2 linked regions of the Cricetulus griseus genome follow. The protein of the gene in region 2 purifies or fractionates together with the protein of the main gene of each other region. This does not show direct contact. Links are inferred from orthologs where the notes say so. Each region holds a gene or a part of one and is shown on either strand. Other genes may lie near its edges.

Region 1 (3,817 bases), on a different chromosome or scaffold from region 2:
ATGATCTATCTCTATGAGTTCAAGGTCAAATTGGTCTACACAGAGAATTCACACCTACCAAGGCTACACAGTGAGACTGTTTCAAAAATAAAACAAGAGACAAAAAACAAAATCAACAAATCTGTAGAAGCACAAGTCTGGAAGATAGCTCAGTCAAAGTGCTTGCCTCAGAAGCATGAAGACATGAGTTCAATGCCCTGCATGCATATACAGATGCAGGCTAATGGTGTGATTATAACCCCAGTGCCGGGGAGGCAGAGACAGGGCATTCTTGTGGTTCACTGGCTGGTCAGTTTAGACAAACTGGTGAAATCCAGGCCAATGAGAAGCCTCGTCTCAAAAGGAAGTAGGTAGCCTTTCTTGAGTTGACACCTATACTTGTCCTCTGGCTTCTCTCCATGCACACACATGTACCCTCCAAGATAAATATGCTCATATGCACACATACAAATGCATTAAAAGCATAGAAACCATTACAATTACAGTACTGAAATCTTTTAAAAATTTATTTTTTTAAAAAATATATATAAACTTTGCTGGGTGTTGGTGGTGCATGCCTTTAATCCCAGCACTTGGGAGGTAGAGTCAGGAGGATCTCTGTGAGTTCCAGACCAGCCTGGTCTACAAGAGCTAGTTCCAGGACAGCCTCCAAAGCCACAGAGAAACCCTGTCTCGAAAAAACAAAACAAAACAAAATAACAAAACAAAACAAACAAACAAACATATATACATATACATATATATTTAGTGGTACTGAGGATCAAACAAACCCAGGGCCTCCTATATGATAAGTACACATCTACCATTGAGTCCTCAAAAATATTTTAAACACTTTTAAACATATGACTTTAAAAATCAGTGAATTCATCTTTTGAAACATTTCCTTGCACATGTTGAAGAAATCAATATCTCTTTGTTTTTAGACAAAGAGATAAAATTATAGATCACGACCAGGAAAGCTAGGCACTAAGAAAAATCAGCAAACAAACTCATGCTCTCATCTCACCTGAGAAACCTTTCCAAGCAGAATGCTTCTCTCCAACAGATGCACAGTGTTCTGAAACTGATAGCGTGGGCACCGGCAGGCTGGCTCTTTCTTCCCTGACTTCAGTATGTTCTTGTGTCAGTATTTCTCCACCTGATCCCTCTGATCTGCTGGAACTGTCACACTTTAAATCAGTGGTTCTGTTCTCTGGACTTAATCTTTCCTGTAACGAGGAATGGAGTTCAGCAGACTTCCTGCCTTCAGATAAATTACTCTTGCTGTGACGTGTGCTGCTCCCTATCTCCCAGCAATGAGTTTGTTCTTCCTCAGACAAAGCATGGCTTGTGACGGGTGTTTTCTCAACAATCTGAAGAGATGTCTTTCCATCTATTTTGTCAGACTTATTTAAGCACTGTGTGTCACTATTAGTTTGTACTACACAGCTGTCTGTCACACGGCTGCTCTGGGCTGTCTGCTGGTGTGAATGTGGGTCAGGAATTGAACAGTTCTTTGTGGGTTGCTTAGATCTCTGCTCTGTGCTGAAATCATCAATGCTTGAGATGGCTGACATCTGGCGGCCCATAAAGATTGTTGCTGGTTGATACAATCCTCTTGACATGGCTGTCCGTGAGTTAATTCCTACCTGCAAAAAGAGGTGTGAGTTAAACACATTGCTTATGAACAATTAAGTAGAAAGAAAAGTTGGTAAAGGAAGCATAACCATGGAAATCAACACCTACCACCAATAAAACATGTCTTCCCACTTAATGAATTGGCAAACTCTACTACAGTCCAGATTATTATTGTGGTAACAGTGTCACTGTACAAAACAACTACTGCTAAAGAACTATGGAATTCTTTTCTGAAAAATGAAATGCATGCAATTAATCCAGCTGACGTGCACGACTAAAATAAAATGAAATCAGTACATTTTAGATTATGCATCTTTTACCCCAGTGACATTCCCTGAAAAGTGGTGAGTTCTAAAAGCACTCTATACAGAGCTCAGTTAGCACCACTATAAAGGGACTTGACAAAAGAATAAAAAGAAAACAAAAAAGCAAGCCAGGGAAATACAGAGGTCAAACAATGAAAGGGTTCAGCTCTATTCTAGTGCTATGTATAAAATAAAAACTTCAAGCAGTCACATTCATAATGGTATTAAAGCACAGAATACTCCTAAATTGTAATCAAATTAACATAAAGATTTCCTGGACATCGTTAAGGAACTTTTAAGTAATTTTAATTAACTAGCATGGTTATAGGAAACCTAAGCCTCATCTTTGAAGGGTAGGGAAAAAGGAGAGAAGATAGGCAAAGCTGAGCAAAGAACCAGCTTAAACAGGGGTGCATGGTACCAAGCAGAACTACAAGTAGCAAGCATGAAGCCTTCCAGAAGCTAAGTGCTTTTCTCCCCAAAGGACCAGAGCACTCCCACAGTCAGGAGAGCGCTCACTTCCTTACACTGCAGATGGGGAAATGCAAATGCATCCACACCCTTCCTCTATACATAGAATTACCAGCATCCAATTTCCAAGACCAGAAATGTCAGAGACAACAGAATCCAGGCCATATATCTATCTCTTCAAACATTGTCTCTTCTAACCCTGGAATAATGAAACAAAAACCACAACCCATGTCCAATTCTGAAGTCAACAAATCAAGGATGTCAGAGAAAGGCGATGGGCTAAAGAGCACTAAACAGTCTCTGCTGGCAACAGAGTTTACAATCCCGAAAATCTCTTCAGACCCTGGGACTTAATCAGCTTTCTAGGAATCTGGGGTGCATTGACTTAAGAGAACCAGGTAGATCTTGAAAAGGACAAGTTTCTGGGCTGCCAGGTGCTGGCCAAGTTGACAACAACCCATAGTCACTGCAAAAACCAGCCAATCAGTCCCTTGAAAAGGACTAGGGAGGCGGGCAGGATTCTTTCAAGGGCCCTATTTCCAGACAACAGTCATCAGTGGACTATCTGGTAGCTCCTTGGAGGACTGCACACAAAAGACTGTTTTGACTTGAACTAGCTTGAAGCTAATAAATAGCCTTGTTCCCAAGCCAAGTTTGCTGAAAATTATCAGAAGCAGTTGTTTAATGAGGAAGCTGCCTAAGGCAGTAGACAGAACTTAGAATAAATAAAAGGCTACACACATTTTAAAGGGAAAGTTGGTCAAAGAGCTGCCTGTGGGGGTCAGGGACTCTGGAAGGTTCTAGTATACTCCTGGAAATCTAGATGACCACCTACATGCTCTGGGCTGTGGGAACACTCAACTGACACTTCAGGAAGTAAATGCCTGAGCTCTCACCTCAAGCTTGCTTTGAGGCTCAAAGCAAGAAATAAAGGACAAGGTATAGCCCAACATACTTAGAACCTCTTAGCAAAGGCAATGAGAATCCTAGTCCCAGACATTAAAGAAAGCTGACGGTTATTAAGTAAATTTAATAGGAATCTCAGTGACCTCACATGAAAAATAATACACATTCACATAACTAAGCCACAAAATGGATAAACAAACAGAAATTAACAACAAATTCTTGGAGGGCAGAGATTCCAGAACTGCCACATTTAATTATTTAAAAATGAAATGAAATAATAAACATTGTCTCAAATAGACAGTGAGCATATACAATCAGTAAAAACTATCTCTGAGGAAGTCCAGGTATTAAAATGACTAGATAGAGGCATTAAATTAGCTATAATTAGCTAAATAAGTTTTTTTTAAAAAATCATGTCCAAAGAACTAGAGTATTCCAACACTCAGAGGCTGACTTTTCAGGCACCCAAATGAATTACTCTGAAGCCAGTAGGTATGTTTATTGAGATGGATCTGAAA
Region 2 (4,478 bases):
TGACCAAAAAAAAAAAAAAAAAAAAAGAACACAAACAAAAAAACCCCCAAAAGCAACAGTACTACTCCTAGTGACCCCACTAGCCAGAACCATCTCAGATATCTATCAAAATAATAGATATATGATTCATTAAATCTGTCAAGTGTATCTGTAATTAAAATTCTATCTATATGTGATGATACAGACAAATTAAAAAACATGAATGAAGCACAAAAGAATATGTGGTTCATGATCTTTTTAAAAACTAAATTAAGGAATAAAATTAAAGACAGTGGTTATCTTTCACTATCTTTGAGGAAGAGGGAGGGACAAGACTTTTTGGGTTCTAGCTATTCCCATTTCTCAACCTGAATTGTATTACAAGAATTTTTCACTTTGCAATGTTGCACTTGGCTTGTTTTCTTTTGTGTATATTTTATAAACAAATGCACCATAAATATGCAAATGCACTAACCAGTTGCTTTTGTAATTTCTGGAGACATTGGTGGTATCATGCAGTACTCATGTTTATTAACATATCATTTTCTTTACTAAAAATCCAATCTGTCAAAGAAACCCTCCGGTAACCTGAAGATATAAAGATATAATCTTATGGATTTTTTTAAAAAAAAATTAAAGATTTATTGTATTTTGTTTGAGGCCAATCTGGGCTACACAGAAAAATCTATGGCCAGATCTTCTCAAAACAACAACAAAAAACAAATGGAGCCTGTGAGAAGTAAGACTGACAGAAGTCAATGAATATAGAGAACATGAGAGGCAGACAGACGGAGGATGGACGACATTCATCTGTATTTCAGCAGGCAGTGAGGTGGTATGGCTAGGGCAACCCACAGCTTTAACTGGAACATGAAGTTTTCATCTCTTCATACCAACCTTACAATTCCATCCTCCCTTTTCCTGAATACACAGATTTCAAGGCTTTGCTGTGTATTTGACAACTTCTTCTGCTCTACTTGTCTTTTACCATTCAGTTTTCAATGAAAATACATTGTCTTACTTAGGGTTTGCTGGTATTTGGAAATCAATTTTTAATCTAAGAATTATGGTTGCTTTATTTTTCCAAAATGCATCTTCTAAAATTCAGATAACCCTCCACCAAGCAAAACTGAGATTGTGGCTAGTTACTCGTCTTTATGCAGTGAGGTTTTCCTCACTTCAAACCTAAGCAATAACATTATTGTTGTAGTGCAGTGATTTTGTGTGTGTGTGTGTGTGTGTGTGTGTGTGTGTGTGTGTGTGTGTGTGTGTAGAGAAAGAGAGAGAGAGACAGAGACAGGGCGTACACAGGGCATTTAACAGGTACTAATTACCGTGCTAAGGGCTTCATTTGTATCATCCCAATTAAGTACCACAACAACATAGAGTTAGGGTGTTCTTCACTCAAAAGTGAAAAACAAATGAAAACAAAATCAGAGGCACAGGAAGCTAAGAATTTTACCCAAGATCAAACTTAGGAAGTGTGAGAGCTAGACAATATTCTTACAGAAACAAATTTAGAGATTATGTCCTTAACCTCTGGTCTATGATGCTTCCAATACAGGGCTCAGCATGTTTCCCCAACCTTCCCTGTTGTTCTCTCCTTGTTTTCATATCTCTACATCCTCCTTAGGTTATTTCTTACCTATGATGGCTGTAGCTAACTGAACTGTAATCCTTAATAAACCTCTATAATTCTGTTCAAGGCAACCTTGCTGTCTGTAAACAACGCATACTTCCAGTCCCTTCAATGTTGCAAATATGTGGGATACCTACACCATTCTTATCAGTAAACATATCGATACGTCAAGTTTCTGTCCAAATGGCATCTTCCTCTGGCCATGATTTAATCACTGTGTAATAGTCAATGTTTGTTTAGCACCATATGTCAGATGCTATTCTCCTTTATACCTCGATGTTTACTCAATAATTCCATCAACTCTACTTGGTAACTGAGGCGAACGATTCAGCAGTTGCCGCGTCAGTGTATTTATGGGATTTATGTATCTCCCTCCGCCAATTACACGCTGGGAGAACAAGAAAATCTCCATCCCTACACCATCTATGTTTGTACAGCACCTGACACGTAATAAAACAGTAGCTCAACAAATATCTATTAAACTAATGACCAGAGCAGTGCCTGCAGGTCCTCAACTGCAGATTTGGAAACTCTCCCTGGCCCATCAGCCCTCGAGTTTCTCTGAGCACAAGAGAAGCATAACAAACCTATTTCGTGTCTAGCTGCCTCCGATGCACGCTTAAGGAATCTACGAGTATTTACCAGCGGTTCTGCTTCGCTAAGTACATACATAATCTCATGTACATCACCAAGCATTCTGTGAAGCGGACTTAAGTTTTCCACATATTTCCACGCTGGGACCCAACCACAACCAAAACATATTAGTAGGTCAACGACAGCGACATTGCATCTTACAGATGAATTTTTCCATCAGGGCATAGGGCGCTTACGTGGGTCTCTCAGTAAGTCGGATTCTGTGGCCATTTCGATATTTTAGTTTGGAGTTTTCATCACCTTTACCGATTCCTCGCAGGGGGAGTAAGATATTTTTTTTTTAACAAATAAACAAAAACAGCCTCCCGCTGAGGAGGCAAACAAAAAGCTAAGGGCTCCCCAGGGCACGGGAACCCCGGCGCGGAGGCATCAGCATCCGACTCACGCGGCGGCGCAGCCCGGCCCGCAGCTCCGCCGAAGCCAGGCGACGCGCGTCAGACTCCGCTCGGCCGGACCCGGGCGGGGGAAGGGGCAGCGGGGCGGCGCGCGGCCGGCCGGAGGGAGGGCGACCCTGGGACGCGACGGCTCGGCCGCGGCGTCACCGCGGGGCTGAGGGGCGACGCCAGGACCGCGGGGAAGCCCGAGCCGCCGCGGAGTCCACTCGGCCCGCCCTGCGACTTTGAAAGCGGTGCCCCGGGCCGTTCCTTGGAGACGGTGACGCCGCGTCCGTCATCACGCGGGCGTCGGTACCTTCGTCATCGCGCTGCCTCAGGCTGCGGCAGGTGATTGGTTGTCTGTCAGGCGCTGGGCGGAGCCCTAAGCGCGCTGGGGGCCGAGTTGCCCTCTTGGCGCCTTCCGCAGTGCCGCGGCGGGTGTCTGAGGTAGTGTGGCGCAATTTAATTTTTTTATTTCTTCCCTTCTATCTTCTTGTAAGACAGCCGAAAACTGACTGACGGGAGCAGGCACTAGATACATATTTTCCTTGCTCTCCGAGTCTTGGTTTCGTAGACACCATGCGTTTGTGGGGCGTGTGCAGGGAGGGCTGTGGGTCCTGGGGTGAGGTGACTCGGAGACCCCCCTCAAGTGAGCTTGGAGCTGTCGCTTCTGGGTCTGGAAGAAGTGACCCTCCTGCTCCTAGGAAAGAGAGCTGTTGTTGAATATTTAAGCCGGTCACGTAGTCAGGTTTTAGGCTAGCCTGCAAACCCTGCAGGTACTTCAAATCTAAGGAAGGATAAAATTTTGCAATAAATAAATAAAACTTGTATTGATAGATAAATTACCATTCCCAGTTTTAAGAAGTGGTGGTGTGTGAATTTGAGCCGTAGAGCTTAAAACACACAAATACACATATACAAAAATACTGGAGAAAACGACATTAGCAAAAAATAAAAAAAAGTTCACTAGTAGTTTATCACTGGCTTTTTAGAGCCTTTTAAATTGATTATATATTTACACATTGAAATAAAGTTTCACTAAACATGTCCTGGTCCTGAGATGGCTCGCCTGATTTGGGATTCCCAGCACACATAAAAAGCCAGACAGGGCCCTGTGAGCCAGTACTGGGGAGGTGCAGACAAAAGGTTGAGGGGAAATGGGTGCTCTCTGGCCAGGAGCCTAAACAAACTGGAAAATTTCAGGGTCAGTGAGACACTGTCTCAAAAGTTCAGGTATGTTAATAAGATTTATTTTTCTGTGAGAAAATACCTGGTGATAAAAAAGTTAAGAAAATGTGAACAGCATTTGAGAATGACACCCCACCTCAACCTCAGCCCATACACAGGAGTGAACACTCTCCCACAGGGACACACACAAAAACAAAACAAAATGCAAGTATGTTCTAGATGAAGTTCTGTTGGACTTTCTGTTCAACAACTTAAGTTTTGTAACCCTGTACCCATAATCTAGCATAAACAGTGTTAGCTTTGTTCCTCTAAAAACTAGCTTTAAAATGTCTATATGTCTGTAATAGCTGTACAAAAGTTTAAATTAGCTTTGAATAAGTGGAGATTCAACCTGGTCTGGTTTTTAGTGCCCATAAGCTTAACATTAAGTTACACTGATTGTGCAAGCTCCACCTCTTCAGTGTAGAATACTTTCTAATGAAACTTCTACTGACTCCCCTCAAAGAGAGTTCCCTACATTTGAATGCTGTATTGTAATGTAAGTTGGAATTGGCTAAGTAGCTATAAATTTAATACTTATTATACTCAGCATTAATAAAATATACATGGAAAAAGCAAAGTATAACTTCTATATAAAATGCATG

The links.
Region 1: the proteins of Sclt1 (region 2) and Kiz purify together in Homo sapiens (co-immunoprecipitation; 3 studies listed by BioGRID and IntAct, counting the BioPlex papers as one, with this or other methods). This does not show direct contact. The link is inferred for Cricetulus griseus from reciprocal best matches to the Homo sapiens genes SCLT1 and KIZ.

What each region holds. Positions count from the first base shown.
Region 1 is NC_048599.1:32,106,320-32,110,136, forward strand, and holds part of Kiz (centrosomal protein kizuna), read right to left. Parts: intron 1,629-3,817; coding exon 1,007-1,628; intron 1-1,006. UniProt on the Homo sapiens protein: Centrosomal protein required for establishing a robust mitotic centrosome architecture that can endure the forces that converge on the centrosomes during spindle formation. Required for stabilizing the expanded pericentriolar material around the centriole.
Region 2 is NW_023276806.1:108,279,793-108,284,270, reverse strand, and holds the start of Sclt1 (sodium channel and clathrin linker 1), read right to left. Parts: upstream 2,905-4,478; 5' UTR 2,483-2,904; coding exon 2,449-2,482; intron 2,445-2,448; exon of another isoform or gene 2,430-2,444; coding exon of another isoform or gene 2,414-2,429; intron 1-2,413. UniProt on the Homo sapiens protein: Adapter protein that links SCN10A to clathrin. Regulates SCN10A channel activity, possibly by promoting channel internalization.